3 linked regions of the Sus scrofa genome follow. The protein of the gene in region 2 purifies or fractionates together with the protein of the main gene of each other region. This does not show direct contact. Links are inferred from orthologs where the notes say so. Each region holds a gene or a part of one and is shown on either strand. Other genes may lie near its edges. The genes, in order: ATR, CLSPN and CDC45.

Region 1 (4,333 bases), on a different chromosome or scaffold from region 2:
TTCCATTGCATTTTAAGATCATTTTGTAAATTTCTGCAATAAGCCGGCCTGGATTTTGATAGGAATGGCACTGGATCTGTAAATCAATTTAGGGAGTATTGCCATCTTAAAAATATTAAATCTTCTAATCCATGAACATGGGATCTTTCCATTTATTTAAGTCATCTTCAATTTTGTTCAACGTTTTATAGTTATTAGTTTGCAAATCTTGTATTTAACTTTTTAAAGCAGTGTTCCTAAGTATTTTATTCCTTTTAATGCTATTCTAAATGAGACTTTCTTAATTTCATGTTTAGGTTGTTCATTGCTAGTGTACAGAAATATAACTAAATTTTTATATTGATCTTGTATCCTGCAACCTTACTTAACTCATTTATTACTTGTAATAGTTATTTTTATAGATACCTTAAGATTTTCTTTCTGTAAAAGCAGGTCTTCTGTAGATATAGTTGTACTTCTTTCCAGTCAGTCCAGTCTAATCACAATGCTTTTTCATTTTCTGGCCTAATTGCCCTAGCTAAATCAATGTCAAATAGACATGGTGAGATGTCTGTATCCTTGTCTTTTCCTAATCTTAGCGGCAAAGAAGTTGCTCTTTCACCATTCAATACGATGTTAGCTGTGAGAAGTAGTTTTTTAAAAGGACATTTAAAGCTCATTTATTCACTTTTTTATTTAAAATCTGTCTATGAGGCATTATGGTAGAATACATTGGTTAGTTAGACATAGGCAAAAGCAAATTCTCTGAAAGAGGAAATAGAGCATCTTCTGACTTAGTAATGTGTTTTTTAAGAGTATTACCATTAGCTTCTCATCTTTCACTTGCTCTTCACCTAAATGTTGACTTTAGAGTTCTTTTTACAAAGATAACATTGTATTATTACCATAATATTTGTTTCTTTTAGTGTCTTAAAGACTTTTCTACATGATCCTTTAGTGGAATGGAGTAAACCAGTGAAAGGGCATTCCAAAGCAACACTGAATGAAACGGGGGAAGTTGTCAATGAAAAGGTTAGTAGGTGTAGCTCAGTATGAGCTGATATATTTGTATATCTCTGCAAATGGGAATTGATTCTAAATACTGTTATTGACTGCCCATTGAATGCTCTGAAATCTAGTTCTCTAGTATAACAGTGCAACAAGTTTTCTTTACTGTCTATACTGATGTTAACATTATCATCATTTGTATAATAAAAAGAGTTCGCAACTTGCTTATGAAATGGAGCAGGAAAAACACAAATTGCTTGAATTTATAGAGTAGCAAATCTTGGCTTCAATATGTGGAATCCACACTTTATTAACATAGAAGTCCTTCATCCCTTGGTTTCCATGGTGGATAGGCCCCACCCTCTGTGTATGCCAAAATCCTGGGATGCACAAGTCCCTTAAATAAAATGGCATAGTATCTGCATATAACCTGTGTATATCATCCCATACACTTTAAATTATCTCTGGATTACTTATAATACCTAGTGCAATGTAAATGTCATGTAAATAGTTGTAAATACAGTGTAAATGCTAAGTAAATAGTTGCCCATGCATAGGAAATTCAAGTTTTCCTTTCTTGGATAACTTTTATCCTTATTTTCAGTCTGTGGTCAGTTGAATCCTAGATGCAGAGACCAGACTATATTAATTGAAGCCTCAAATTTTGTAGATAGTTATTTCAAATAAGTTAGAATATATTGAGGAATGTTTTTCTAATATCATTCTCATTTTTGCATTCTGATATAATTTCTTGATTGAAAGAAATTTGTAGAATTCCAAGTAGCTCACTTAGAACTCCCATTTGCATGTACTAATATAATGTAAATATTAGGGATTAGAGTATTGTTGCTATTATTAGATTTTTGTTGTTGTTGTTGTTTTGTTTTTTTAGGGCCACACCTGCAACATATGAGGTTCCCAGGCTAGGGGTCAAATCGGAGCTGTAGCTGCCAGCCTACGCCACCACCACAGCAACACAGGATCTGAACGATGTCTGCAACCTACATCACAGCTCACAGCAACACCAGATCCTTAACCCACTGAGCAAGGCCAGGGATCAAACCTGCATCCTCATGTATACTAGTCAGGTTCATTAACCACTGAGCCATGATGGAAACTCCCTAGAATATTACTATTTGGGGCAGGGGCTGCACCTGTGGTATGTGGAAGTTCCCAGGCTAGGGGTCGAAAGCCATATCTGCAACCTACACAACAGCTTGTGACAATGCGGGGTCATTAACCCACTGAGCATGACCAAGGATCAAACAGGCATCCTAACAGACATTATGTTGGGTTCCTAACCTGCTCAAATGTTTAAGCCCTAAACACTTTTCAGGGTAGATTTTTTTATATTATTATTTTTCTAGATTTCTAATGTGTAAGAGATTCCCTGCTATTTCACATAGTCCTGAAAAATGTCCAAACAGTTTATGTTAGATTAACATTGTAAGCCTCAGAAATCAGTATCTCAAGTTATTGTATTTGCTTCATTTCTTCTCTTTTGTCTGTATTTGCTCTTACAAAAGGGGTAATGATCAGTAAAATAGCATTGACATTTATTAAATCACAGAAAGGCAGTAATTCCAGTTCATAAACATCCATATATCATTAAGTCCTAATCCTTATGATTTTCAATTTCTTTTTAGGCTAAGACCCATGTACTTGACATCGAGCAGCGACTGCAAGGTGTAATCAAGACCCGAAATAGAGTGACAGGGTTGCCATTATCTATCGAAGGACATGTGCATTATCTTATACAAGAAGCTACTGATGAAAACTTACTATGCCAAATGTACCTTGGTTGGACCCCATATATGTGAAATGGAATTACTCCAAAGACTCTGTTAATAATCTAAATGTAATGTATTTGGTATTAATTTGTGGTTCTATCTATTCACTTCTAAAGTACAACATATGTTTATGTTCTCAGAGTAACTGATATTTCTCCCTGATTGTTAATAATATTTAAAATAATATATGTTAAGAAATAAACTGCTTTCTTAATATGTAGTGTGTATTATAACCAACCAGAGAAATGGAATATCATATGTTCTTATGCTCTGAAAAGATGTATTTGCAAGAAACAAGCCAGCCTAATTTCATTTTACAACTTTCACTGATTTTAAGTACTAGGATAAGGATTCATCTGAACAGCAAAAAATTATATTCAATAAATACTGTAGACAAAGCACTATGGTATATTTATGCACAGAGCTAGGTTCCTTGCTCTCTGGTAACTGTCTAGTTAGAGAGGTATAAATAGCACATCCTTAGGCTCACTTAATAAAACTGTTTTTTTTTTTTGTATAGTTGAAAATGTGGTGGAGGAAAAAAAACACATTAGCCAATTTGCGTGAATATCAAAACTATATAAATATTCTGTAATCTTGAAGATGCTGCCATGCCAAAAGTGTACTGGAATGCAGAATTCAGTGGTTTTGAGAAATAGCAATACTTAAAATTTCATGCGATTCTAAAATCTAAGAACTTTTTAATGTCATTAAATTTGGGGGCTACTATTGCAGAAGATTTTAAATAATTCATAATAATTACAAAGCAGGTTATTACATACAAATAAATGGAGAGCTTTTTATAACAAAGATAATTTCACTTAAATTCACATAGAATGCTGCCTTTTGTTAGAGCTGTAAGTGTGATGGGGAAAATATAGTAACCCAAGAAGTATAAATGTGAAAACTAAACATTACTTTCCTATCAAAGGCCCAATATTAAGAGTGAAGTAGGAAGCTGGGTGGGGGTGGAAGAGAGTTAAATTGTTTTTGGCAAATAACTTAGAAAAATTTTAAAAGAAACTCTGCTGTAGGTTTACAATGCGCGAAGAAAAAACAATTTCCCCTCACAGAAAAAAGTAAACCAAATAAATCACCAGACCTTTCCAAATGTGTGTTGAAAAGTAGTGAGAATGGTAATCGCAGGAGCCCGAAGCAGCCAGCACAAGACAGTGTTAAGCCGTCTCCGGAGGTTTTCACACCCTTCAAATCCACTTAGAGAGCGATCAACTGACGTTTTCAGAACTAAATTTAACACAAACGCTCAAAACCGCTTCCGCTTGCTTAGAGGTAACTACGCTAGCGGGGCGACGGCGGGTTAGAGCCGAGATAGACCCCGCCCCGGGATGCGGCCCGAATCCGGCCGCTCTAGCCACGGCGGGCGCTCTCTATGGTCGGGCGGGCGGTGTGTTGTCATCCGCGGAGCGACGGCCCGGAGGCGGCGGCGTAGGCCACGGCGGGGCGTTTGGTTTCGCTTTGGCCCTGACTGGAGTTAGTATTGACGGTCGAAATGGGAGTCCCTAAGTTTTACCGATGGATCTCTGAGAGATATCCCT
Region 2 (4,347 bases):
GCTAGAGGATCAAAGAAAAGTCAAGTTCTATACAGGAGTCACTACTTACCTAGTTTGCTAGGCCTTTTGCCTGAGTTTTCATCTAGTTCTGATTTTTCTTCACTAGGAGAGTAACTACAAAATAAAAAGGTAAATTGTTTGAGTATCTTTCTGCTTCTTTTTTTGGGTCTTTTTAGGGCCACACCCACAGCATATGGAGGCCCAGACTAGGGATCCAATCAGAGCTGTAGCTGCTGGCCTACACCACGGCCAAAGCAACACCAGATCCGAGCCGAGTCTGCAACCTACACCAGAGCTCACAGCAACACCGGATCCTTAACCCAATGAGCAAGGCCAGGGATTGAACCTATGTCCTCATGGATGCTTGTCAGATGTTTCTGCTGAACCACAATGGGAACTCCCTGTTTCTGCTTCTTACTGGAGGGGCAAATACCAAGGAATCTTAATCTTTTCTTAGAGAGATTTACTTACTCCATCTTGGAAGAGCTGTCCTTAAATAAAAGGAAGGTAGAATCTGATGAGAGAGGCTTGGGAACAGAGAGAAGGCCAACTGACTTGTCATTTTCATCACTGCCATCATTGTTTTCTTTATCCATTTCTTTCTCATCTTTGGTTTCTGTTTCTTCACTATCGAGATGGAATTCTGCCATCTTTACCAAAACAAAATAATACAAGTCAAAAATTTTAAAAGCAAACACAGTTAGCCTGAAATATGCTGCTTGGTTACTAGTCATATCTTAAATCTGAAAAGGTTAACCTGAAGGAGGCTTGGTCTAACAATTGTCATTAATATAATTCTCCCTGGCACTTCTAGAGCTCTTTTATATCTATGTCATTTTACCTTTTACTCTCACCAAACCGTTACAAGATTATGAAAAAAGACTGGATTATAATTTTATTGTGTCAATGACAGGTTACATGATTAGCCTAAGACTGCAAGACAACAAATGACCTCAAACCAACCACAGACTGTAAAATCCTGCCCAACTCAGCCATGGCTTTTCTCTTCCCTTTACTTAGGGTTAAACATTAATCAGCTCTTTCAAATGATTCCAGCATTCTGACAAGGATGCTTTTCTGTTTTCTAATACTAAAAATCCTATCATTTGTCTTCTATAGGTGGAAAACAATACTATGGAAATAAAGGCAAGAGGTCCTTTTACAAATACTCTCCTTAATGAAGAAAGAAATTAACTCAGGAAGGTCTTAGCTTGAGAATACTCCAGACCTCAACCTAGCCAAGGTTAAAAGAGTCCTTTTTTATTCTGAATAGAGAAAACAAGGAAAAAAGTCTATTCATACGAAGTCATTTTGATATTAGCATTATATTACAATGTGTAAGCCAACACGTAGAAGCCAAGGCTCTGGCTCTGTGAAATGTATGCACTAAAATTTAGATACATATGAGCTACATTTATCTCTGCCCCTAAAATCTCATACAACTGAATGTGTTCACTATACTCTTACTCAAATCTTATTTTCTCCTTCTCTTATTTACCATGACCTAGTAACAAAATCACATAATTGCCAGAAACCTCCTGATTGCCTTCTTCCTCCTCTTCCTCTTCTTTCTCCTCTTCTTCCTCTAATGCTTCCTCTCCCTCCTCTTCTCCATCTTCCTCAGACTCATCTGTCATTTCTTCCTCCTCCTCCTCTTCTTCTTCAAATCCATCTTCATTATCTAACTTGAGTAATGCCTGGCGCTTCTGGCGTTCTTCAAACCTTCGGAGTTTCATTGCTTCTTGCAGTTTAGCTTTCAGCACCTGAAGCTTTTCCCCTGAAGAGAAATATGAAGAGATGCTTTAACTGTAATGACTGACTACACAGGACAACAATGCAAGTGAGTATTTTAAGCAATTCCAGAAGTATTCTAGACACATCCCAAAAGGAAAGTCGGTGACCTCTAGGCTTTTCTTTTATTTTTGTTTGTTTGTTTTTGTTTTTTTTAGGGCCACACTCGAAGCATATGGAGGTTCCCAGGCTAGGGGTCGAGTTGGAGCTGGAGCTGCAGCTGCTGGCCTATGGCACAGCCACGTCAACACCAGATCTAAGCTGCGTCTGTGAACTACACCGCAGCTCATGGCAACACTGAATCCTTAACCCACTGAGCAACGCCAGGGATCAAACCTGTGTCCTCATGGTTACTAGTCAGGTTCGTTACCACTGAGCCACAATGGGAACTCCTAGGCTTTTGTTATCTTAACAAATGGGGATTAGGAGTTCCTGTATGGCTCAGTGGGTTAAGGATCAAGCATTGGGGGTTGGATGGCTGCTGTGGTTCGGGTTTGATCCCTGGCCTGGGACCTTCCGCATACCATGGGTGTGGCCAAACAAAGAAATGGGGATTATTATGAACTGAGTGTAGAAGATCACTTCCAGAATTATGTTCTATACCTCGGGATAATATATTATAGAGATTATAAAATTATTACTACAAAGTGAGGGAAGAGTGAGACTTCAAAAGTCTCTGGCACAACAAGGACCTACTATTTAGCACACAGAACTATATTCAATACCTTGTAATAACCAGAAAAGAATCTGAAAAAAAAAATATATATATATATATTTATTAACTGAATCACTCTGCTATACACCTGAAACTAACACAACATTGTAAATCAACCATACTTCAATTAAAAAAAAAGTCTCTGGGGAGTTCCCTTCATGGCTCAGCAGTTAATGAACCCAACTAGGATCCATGAGGATGTAGGTTCAATCCCTGGCCTTGTTCAGTGGGCTAAGGATCCGGCATTGCCATGAGCTGTGGTGTAGGTTGCAGATGTGGCTCAGATCCTGAGTTACTATGGCTGTGGTGTAGGCCAGCAGCTGTAGCTCTGATTTGATCCATAACCTGGGAACTTCCATGTGTGGCCCTAAAAAGCAAAAAAAAAAAAAAAATTAAATTAAATTTTAAAAAGTCTCTGGCTCAGAAGCCACAAAGGAAAATACTGATAAATTATCTACATTAAAGAAAAAGAGAAACAACTCAAGAGTAAAATGGACAAAGGATGTGAACTGGTAGTTCACAGAAAAATTAACACATATTATTAATAAACAAATTAAAATTTCTTAACCTCACTTTTCATTAAAGAAATATAAATCTAGGGAGTTCCTGTCGTGGTACAGTGGTTAACGAATCCGACTAGGAACCATGAGGTTGCCGGTTCGGTCCCTGCCCTTGCTCAGTGGGTTGACGATCCGGCGTTGCCATGAACTGTGGTGTAGGTTGCAGACGCGGCTCGGATCCTGCGTTGCTGTGGCTCTGGCGTAGGGTGGCAGCTACAGCTCCGTTTAGACCCCTAGCCTGGGAACCTCCAAATGCTGCGGGAGCGGCCCAAGAAATAGCAAGAAGACAAAAAAAAAAAAAAAAAAAAAAAAAAAAAAGAAAAAAGAAATATAAATCTAAACAATGAGACACTATTTTTATACATATTTGGAAAAAATTAGGTTTGATAATATCCATTATTAACAGCAACTCTTATTACACACGGTGATTCAGAGTGTAAATTAATATAAGTACTTTGAAGGATAATGGGATGATATATATATATCAAAATGTGACTCATTGATTCCATTGTAAGGAATTTTGCCTCCAGAATTACCAACATATATCTAATACTAGGACACAACACTGTATGAAATTCCAAAAACTGGAACAAACAAGATGTCCATTAAGAGGAATACTGTTAAACGAATCATATTATATTTACACAATGGAATATTATGCAGCTCTTAGAAAAACGTCAAACACAATATGAGCAACTGAGCTCTTGAGTTAGGTGGTATGGATTAGGCTGCTAGTTCTACTATTTACTAGCTGTGTAAACCTGAGCAAGTTGTTTAAATGGTTTATCAGTTTCCTCATATATAAAATAAGGATACTAATGCTATTTCCTGTAAAACACCTAGAGGAATCCTAGCAGAAAGTGTTCAATCTCTCTCTTACACATACACACACACAATGATATGAATATGAAAATACATATGAATTTTCCTAGGACACAAATAACTGTTAACAGTTGCCTTCGGGAAGGCTAATTTTTCATTTTATACATTTCCCCTAAGTGTTTTAGTTTTTTTCTATGTAATATATTACTTGTACTTTCAAAGTGGGAGTGGGAACAACAGACCTGTCCATAATACACTGCTAAAACAAAAAAGCAGATTACAAAGCAGAATTCATGTATGGTCACGTTGTTGTTGTTTTGCTTTTAGGGCTGCACACTATATATATATGTACGTGTGTGTGTGTGTGTGTGTGTGTCTGTGTGTGTGTGTAGTCTTTTTAGGGCTGCACCCGAGACATATGAAGGTTGCTAGGCTAGGGATAGAACCAGAGCTACAGCT
Region 3 (4,909 bases), on a different chromosome or scaffold from region 2:
GGACAAATACTGCGTGATTCTATTTACATGAGGTACTTAGAGTAAGTCAAATTCGCAGAGAGGAAAAAAATGGTGGTGGTGGTTGCCAGGGGCTGGGGGAAGAGGAATTGTTTAATGGGGACAGAGTTTCAATTTTTCAAGATAAAAAAGTTCTGTAGATCTACTATGCAACAATGTGAATGTACTTAACACCACTAAACTTTACACTTAAAAATGTACAAACTGGAGTTCCCGTCGTGGCTCAGTGGTTAACAAATCCAACTAGGAACCATGAGGTTGTGGGTTCAACCCCTGGCCTTGCTCAGTGGGTTAAGGATCCAGCGTTGCCGTGAGCTGTGGTGTAGGTCGCAGACGCAGCTCAGATCCCATGTTGCTGTGGCTGTGGCCTATGCCAGAGACTACAGCTCCGAACAGACCCCTGGCCTGGGAACCTCCATATGCCGCGGGAGCGGCCCTAGAAAAGACAAAAAGACAAAAAAAGGGGGGAGGAAAAAAAAAAAACAGAACTCAGTTCAACAAAATCATGGCCAGAGGCATAACAAATACACGGCGCTTCTGCTTCTGGGTGAGTGGGCGCCTCGTCACTCGAACCCCACCTCTAAGCCCTTTCTTCTGGGTGCAACACAAAAAGGACCGCGTACACAAGGTGTTGAACACCGGGTCCCAACCTGCCCTCAACCTTCCCCTTATGATCCCGACGCGGAGCGCTCAGCCCAGAGCACGAGGATACTCGCTTGTTCGGTGGACTGGGCACTGACGCACTCAGCTTAAACTCTTGACAAAGCAAACGCGCGACCCTCTGGTGACAAACAGCGGTACAGCCAGGCCTGACTTCCAAGTCTCACTCCCCCAGCCTCTACACCTCGCCCCCGCCTCCAGAGGCATCGCTGGGGCCCAGGACTGAGAGGTAAGAGGGCCAGGGGAGCCACGGGCAGCGTGGCGGCGTCGCAAGCCGGCAGGGCTCAGTTGGGGGACGGGCCCCGAGCGCCCGCGCCCTTGCCCCTCAGCCTACCAGTCCATCCAGGGCTCGTTTGAGGGAAGCCGTCACAGGTCTAGAGCCTCGAAACGGAGGGCGAAGGCGCCCGCGGAAGGCTCAGGCCGGTGAGTCGGCACCTCCTCGGCTGCACGTTCGCTCGCCGAGCTCCCGCCCCGCCCCCGGCCCCGACCCCAGCCTGCCCCGCCACTCACCATGGTGGACCCCTCGGCCTAGCAGGTGCGCTTTGCCAAAGAACGTTGCGGTGGAAGCCGACTTCTCCTCACAGCCGCCGCTACCGCCGCCGCCTCGCGCGGACATCCGGGACTCACCGGAAATACCGCACCTACACTTCCGGGAGAGGCGCGCGAGGAGGGCGCAGCTGGGTCAAGGGACAAAGGCAAAGGCGCCAGGGTACAAGGTTTCCTTGAGTGAGCGCTTAAATACCCCTTCCTTCCTAACATGTGCACTCTAGACTACCTTTCATGATTATTTTAAACTGCAGTTTGACAGTGCCCCCTCCAGAAGAGTTTGATGGGATTAACGCCCCTTCCGCTTAAGTTACCCAGAATGCACGCAGACCTCCGGCGTCTGCCGCGGCCATCCAAGACTCGGGCGGAAGTAAGACACCCTTCCGCCCTTGAACCAGGCCGCGAGCCAATTGAAATCCTAAACGGAAGCACTCTTTGATGTACACACGAATTTAATTTGCAGAGGGAAGGTTTCTTTTTTCTAGAGGTCTCAGTGAGGGGCAGTAGGCTTTTCTTCCCAAAGTAAAGATAAACACCGAGCGTCGGGTTTCCAGTTAAACGGAGTCAGCGTTAACATGCGCAACCACCAGCGCGTCCAGCCTGTGGCAGATGCCCCTTTGGGGCAGGCCGAAGTCTTCCAGCCGTGAACGGCGGAGCGCTAGTGCCCGCCCTCCAAACAGGCCAATCAGAAAGGAGAAAAGTCTGGGAGCCGAGGGTCGCTGGTTTGTCCCTGGGCCAATCGAAAGAGCCCTGATTTGGCGGGAGTCTTGACGGTTTCCGGGCTCTCGGTCCCCGCGCGCGTTCGGGCTATCCCGCCGCCGTGGCCATGTTCGTGTCCGATTTCCGCAAGGAATTCTACGAGGTGGTCCAGAGTCAGGTGATCCCTGCCTTGGGCGCCCGAGGCCTTGTCGGGGAAGGGCTGAGGGGGTGTGGCCGTGGGGGGCGGGAGGGGCCGGGATTCGTGTATAAACGCTCGGCAAACTCGCTCCCCCCCTCCCCCCCGGTAGAGGGTCCTTCTCTTCGTGGCCTCGGACGTGGACGCTCTGTGCGCTTGCAAGATCCTTCAGGTGAGGCTGCAGACCTGGCCGGCGGGCGGGGGACAGGGCAAGGGAGGGGAGGGACAGGGCAAGGGTGGGGGTCAGGGCAAGGGGAGGGGGGACAGGGCAAAGGGAGGGGGGAACAGGGCAAGGGGAGGGGCGGGGCAAGGACCCCCTCCTGGGCGAGAGCTCGGCCTGGGGCGAGGGCTCTTCCCTGGCGGGACAGTGTTGGGTGGGTTAGAGGAGAACTAAGCAGAAAGCAAGGAGACTAGTTAGTGTGTCTGCAGTAACCTAGGCTGCATCGGGGAGACCTGAGACCCGTAGCGGCTTCTTTCTGTGGGGTTTGAGGCAGAGGGCTGCGGGCACCCTGGTGTCATAAGCAGTCCCGGAGATGACGATTCTTGTTAGAAAAGGTCGCTGCACAGAGTGTAGTGTTTCCATGAACTTCGATTAGGCCCTTGGGTCAGGATCCGCTCAGAAAACCTAGGTCAGCTTTCCAACCGTGTTTTCCTTTAGTGGTTTTCAGCGAAGTTGACAGAATGGTACAGTGAACATTTGTGTGCCCATCATCAACATTTTACTAACCTTACTTTATCAGGTGTTTTTATCTTTCAACTCTTTTTTTTTTAAGTGCATTTCAAGGTAGATTGCAGACATCCTAATAGGTTTTGAAAATACTCTTTCTCCAGGCCCTGTTCCAGTGTGACCACGTGCCATATACGCTGGTTCCAGTTTCTGGGTGGCAAGAACTTGAAACTGCATTTCTTGAGCATAAAGAGCAGGTATGAGAGATGCATTTGAGAATAGTAGGCTTCTTTAGGGAGTTCCCTTCGTGGCTCAACAGTTAACAAACCCGAGGATGTGGGTTCGATCCCTGGCCTAGCTCAGTGGGTTAAGGATCCGGTGTTGCCGTGAGCTGTGGTGTAGGTCACAGACATGGCTTGGATCTGGCATTGCTCTGGCTGTGGTGTAGGCTGGCAGCCGTAGCTTTCATTCAACCCCCAGCCCAGGAACCTCCATATGCCGCAGGAATGGCCCTAAAAAGCAAAAAAAAAAAAAAAGAGAGAGAGAGAGAATGGTAGGCTTTTTAAAACTCAACTACAACTTCTTAGCACTGAGCATTCTATTTCTCTAATGTGTTGTGTATATTTTTTACTAGAAATTTGATTAGGCCCTATGGAAAAGTGAGCTATATGTCTGGGTGACTTGACTTATCCTCAAATTGTGGAGACAAAGTCAACAACGAAAAAGAGATAATGAATGTGGAGGGCTTCTAACTTTGATTAGAAGACACATTTCATTGTAAGGTGTTTGGAATTTGGCAGGTTGATTTGATAAGGCCTAGTTAAAATTATTTTAGATTAGGGAGTTCCCACTGTGGCTCAGTGGTAATGAATCTGACTAGTATCTATGAGAACTCAGGTTTGATCCCTGGCCCTGCTCAGTGGGTTAAAAATCTGGCGTTGCTGTGAGCTGTGGTATAGGTTGCAGATGCAGCTCAGATCTGGTGTGTCTGTGGCATAGGTCAGAAGCTGCAGCTCTGATTCAAACCCTAGCCTGGGAGATTCTATCTGCCACAAGTACGGCCCTAAAAAAGACAAAAAACAAACAAAAAAATTATTTTAGACTAGAGTACTGTTTTACGTTTATCTTTCTAAGAAGATGAATCCCAGTTTCCAGGTGGGAATCTAGGAACATAACTTTTCCCTTGCAGTGTAAGCAGTAAAGGCTGGGACTCCTCCCACCTCTGCATGGGGCCATGATGAGAGCGGGCACGTCTCCGACCTCACAACCCCCCCCCCCCCCCGCTGCCCAAGGAGGGGCTGGAGTGTGCATGAGGGTCACTGGAGTTTCTGGCCAAGATACATCCTCACCTGGAGCGCCTATCATCGCAGGAGGGAACTCTACCAACTCAGCATTACAAGGAAAGGACTTTTTATAGTGACAGGATGTAATAAAAGGCTTAGCTTAATATTTAGGTGCTTGTTAGTTGTGGGCTATGCAAGGATTGCTAGCAATTTAAGCCTATACAACACAATTAGCACGGAGAAGCAGTTCATCACAATAGAGTGTCAGGTCAGGAGAGGCCCGGTTACACATATGACCTCTTGGTCTGTCCACCTCAGCTTCTACACCCCATGTGTGAGTCTCAAGTATGCTCAGCCTCTGTCTGCTCCTCACTGAAGCAGGGACACCGTAGGACTCCCCTTACAGTGTCGTGGAAATGAAATAGCGCACAGAGCTGTTAAACACTTGGCACAGGCCAGCCTCGGCCACAATGGACCCCTCGTCATCGGGGCCTCGCCAGCTGGCAGAGGCTGGGTGCCGTTCAGTAGGGCTCAGGCCTCATGCTGCAGACAAACAGGCTCCTCCAGGTGCTCGCTCACTCATGGTGCCCCTCTTCTTTTTCCAGTTCCATTACTTCATCCTCATAAACTGTGGCGCTAACGTGGACCTATTGGATATACTTCAACCCGATGAAGATACCATATTTTTCGTGTGTGACACTCACAGGCCAGTCAATGTTGTGAACGTGTACAATGATACCCAGGTAAGCAGGCCTTTGGGGCCCTGAGTTCTATCCATCTGTCTGTTCCCTTTTTGTGCATGGACAGCACTGCATCTGGTGTTCTTGGCAAGGAGCATGG

What was found.
Region 1: the proteins of CLSPN (region 2) and ATR purify together in Homo sapiens (affinity purification with western blotting; 3 studies listed by BioGRID). This does not show direct contact. The link is inferred for Sus scrofa from reciprocal best matches to the Homo sapiens genes CLSPN and ATR.
Region 3: the proteins of CLSPN (region 2) and CDC45 purify together in Homo sapiens (affinity purification with western blotting; 4 studies listed by BioGRID and IntAct, with this or other methods). This does not show direct contact. The link is inferred for Sus scrofa from reciprocal best matches to the Homo sapiens genes CLSPN and CDC45.

The regions. Positions count from the first base shown.
Region 1 is NC_010455.5:83,174,357-83,178,689, reverse strand, and holds the end of ATR (serine/threonine-protein kinase ATR), read left to right. Parts: intron 1-905; coding exon 906-1,011; intron 1,012-2,633; coding exon 2,634-2,807; 3' UTR 2,808-3,175; downstream 3,176-4,333. UniProt on the Homo sapiens protein: Serine/threonine protein kinase which activates checkpoint signaling upon genotoxic stresses such as ionizing radiation (IR), ultraviolet light (UV), or DNA replication stalling, thereby acting as a DNA damage sensor.
Region 2 is NC_010448.4:91,920,538-91,924,884, forward strand, and holds part of CLSPN (claspin), read right to left. Parts: intron 1,778-4,347; coding exon 1,536-1,777; intron 651-1,535; coding exon 472-650; intron 115-471; coding exon 50-114; intron 1-49.
Region 3 is NC_010456.5:51,131,487-51,136,395, forward strand, and holds the start of CDC45 (cell division control protein 45 homolog), read left to right. Parts: upstream 1-1,635; 5' UTR 1,636-2,050; coding exon 2,051-2,101; intron 2,102-2,231; coding exon 2,232-2,291; intron 2,292-2,950; coding exon 2,951-3,043; intron 3,044-4,674; coding exon 4,675-4,812; exon of another isoform or gene 4,813-4,868; coding exon of another isoform or gene 4,869-4,909. Other genes in the region: UFD1 (ubiquitin fusion degradation protein 1 homolog), read right to left, coding at 1,189-1,191. UniProt on the Homo sapiens protein: Required for initiation of chromosomal DNA replication. Core component of CDC45-MCM-GINS (CMG) helicase, the molecular machine that unwinds template DNA during replication, and around which the replisome is built.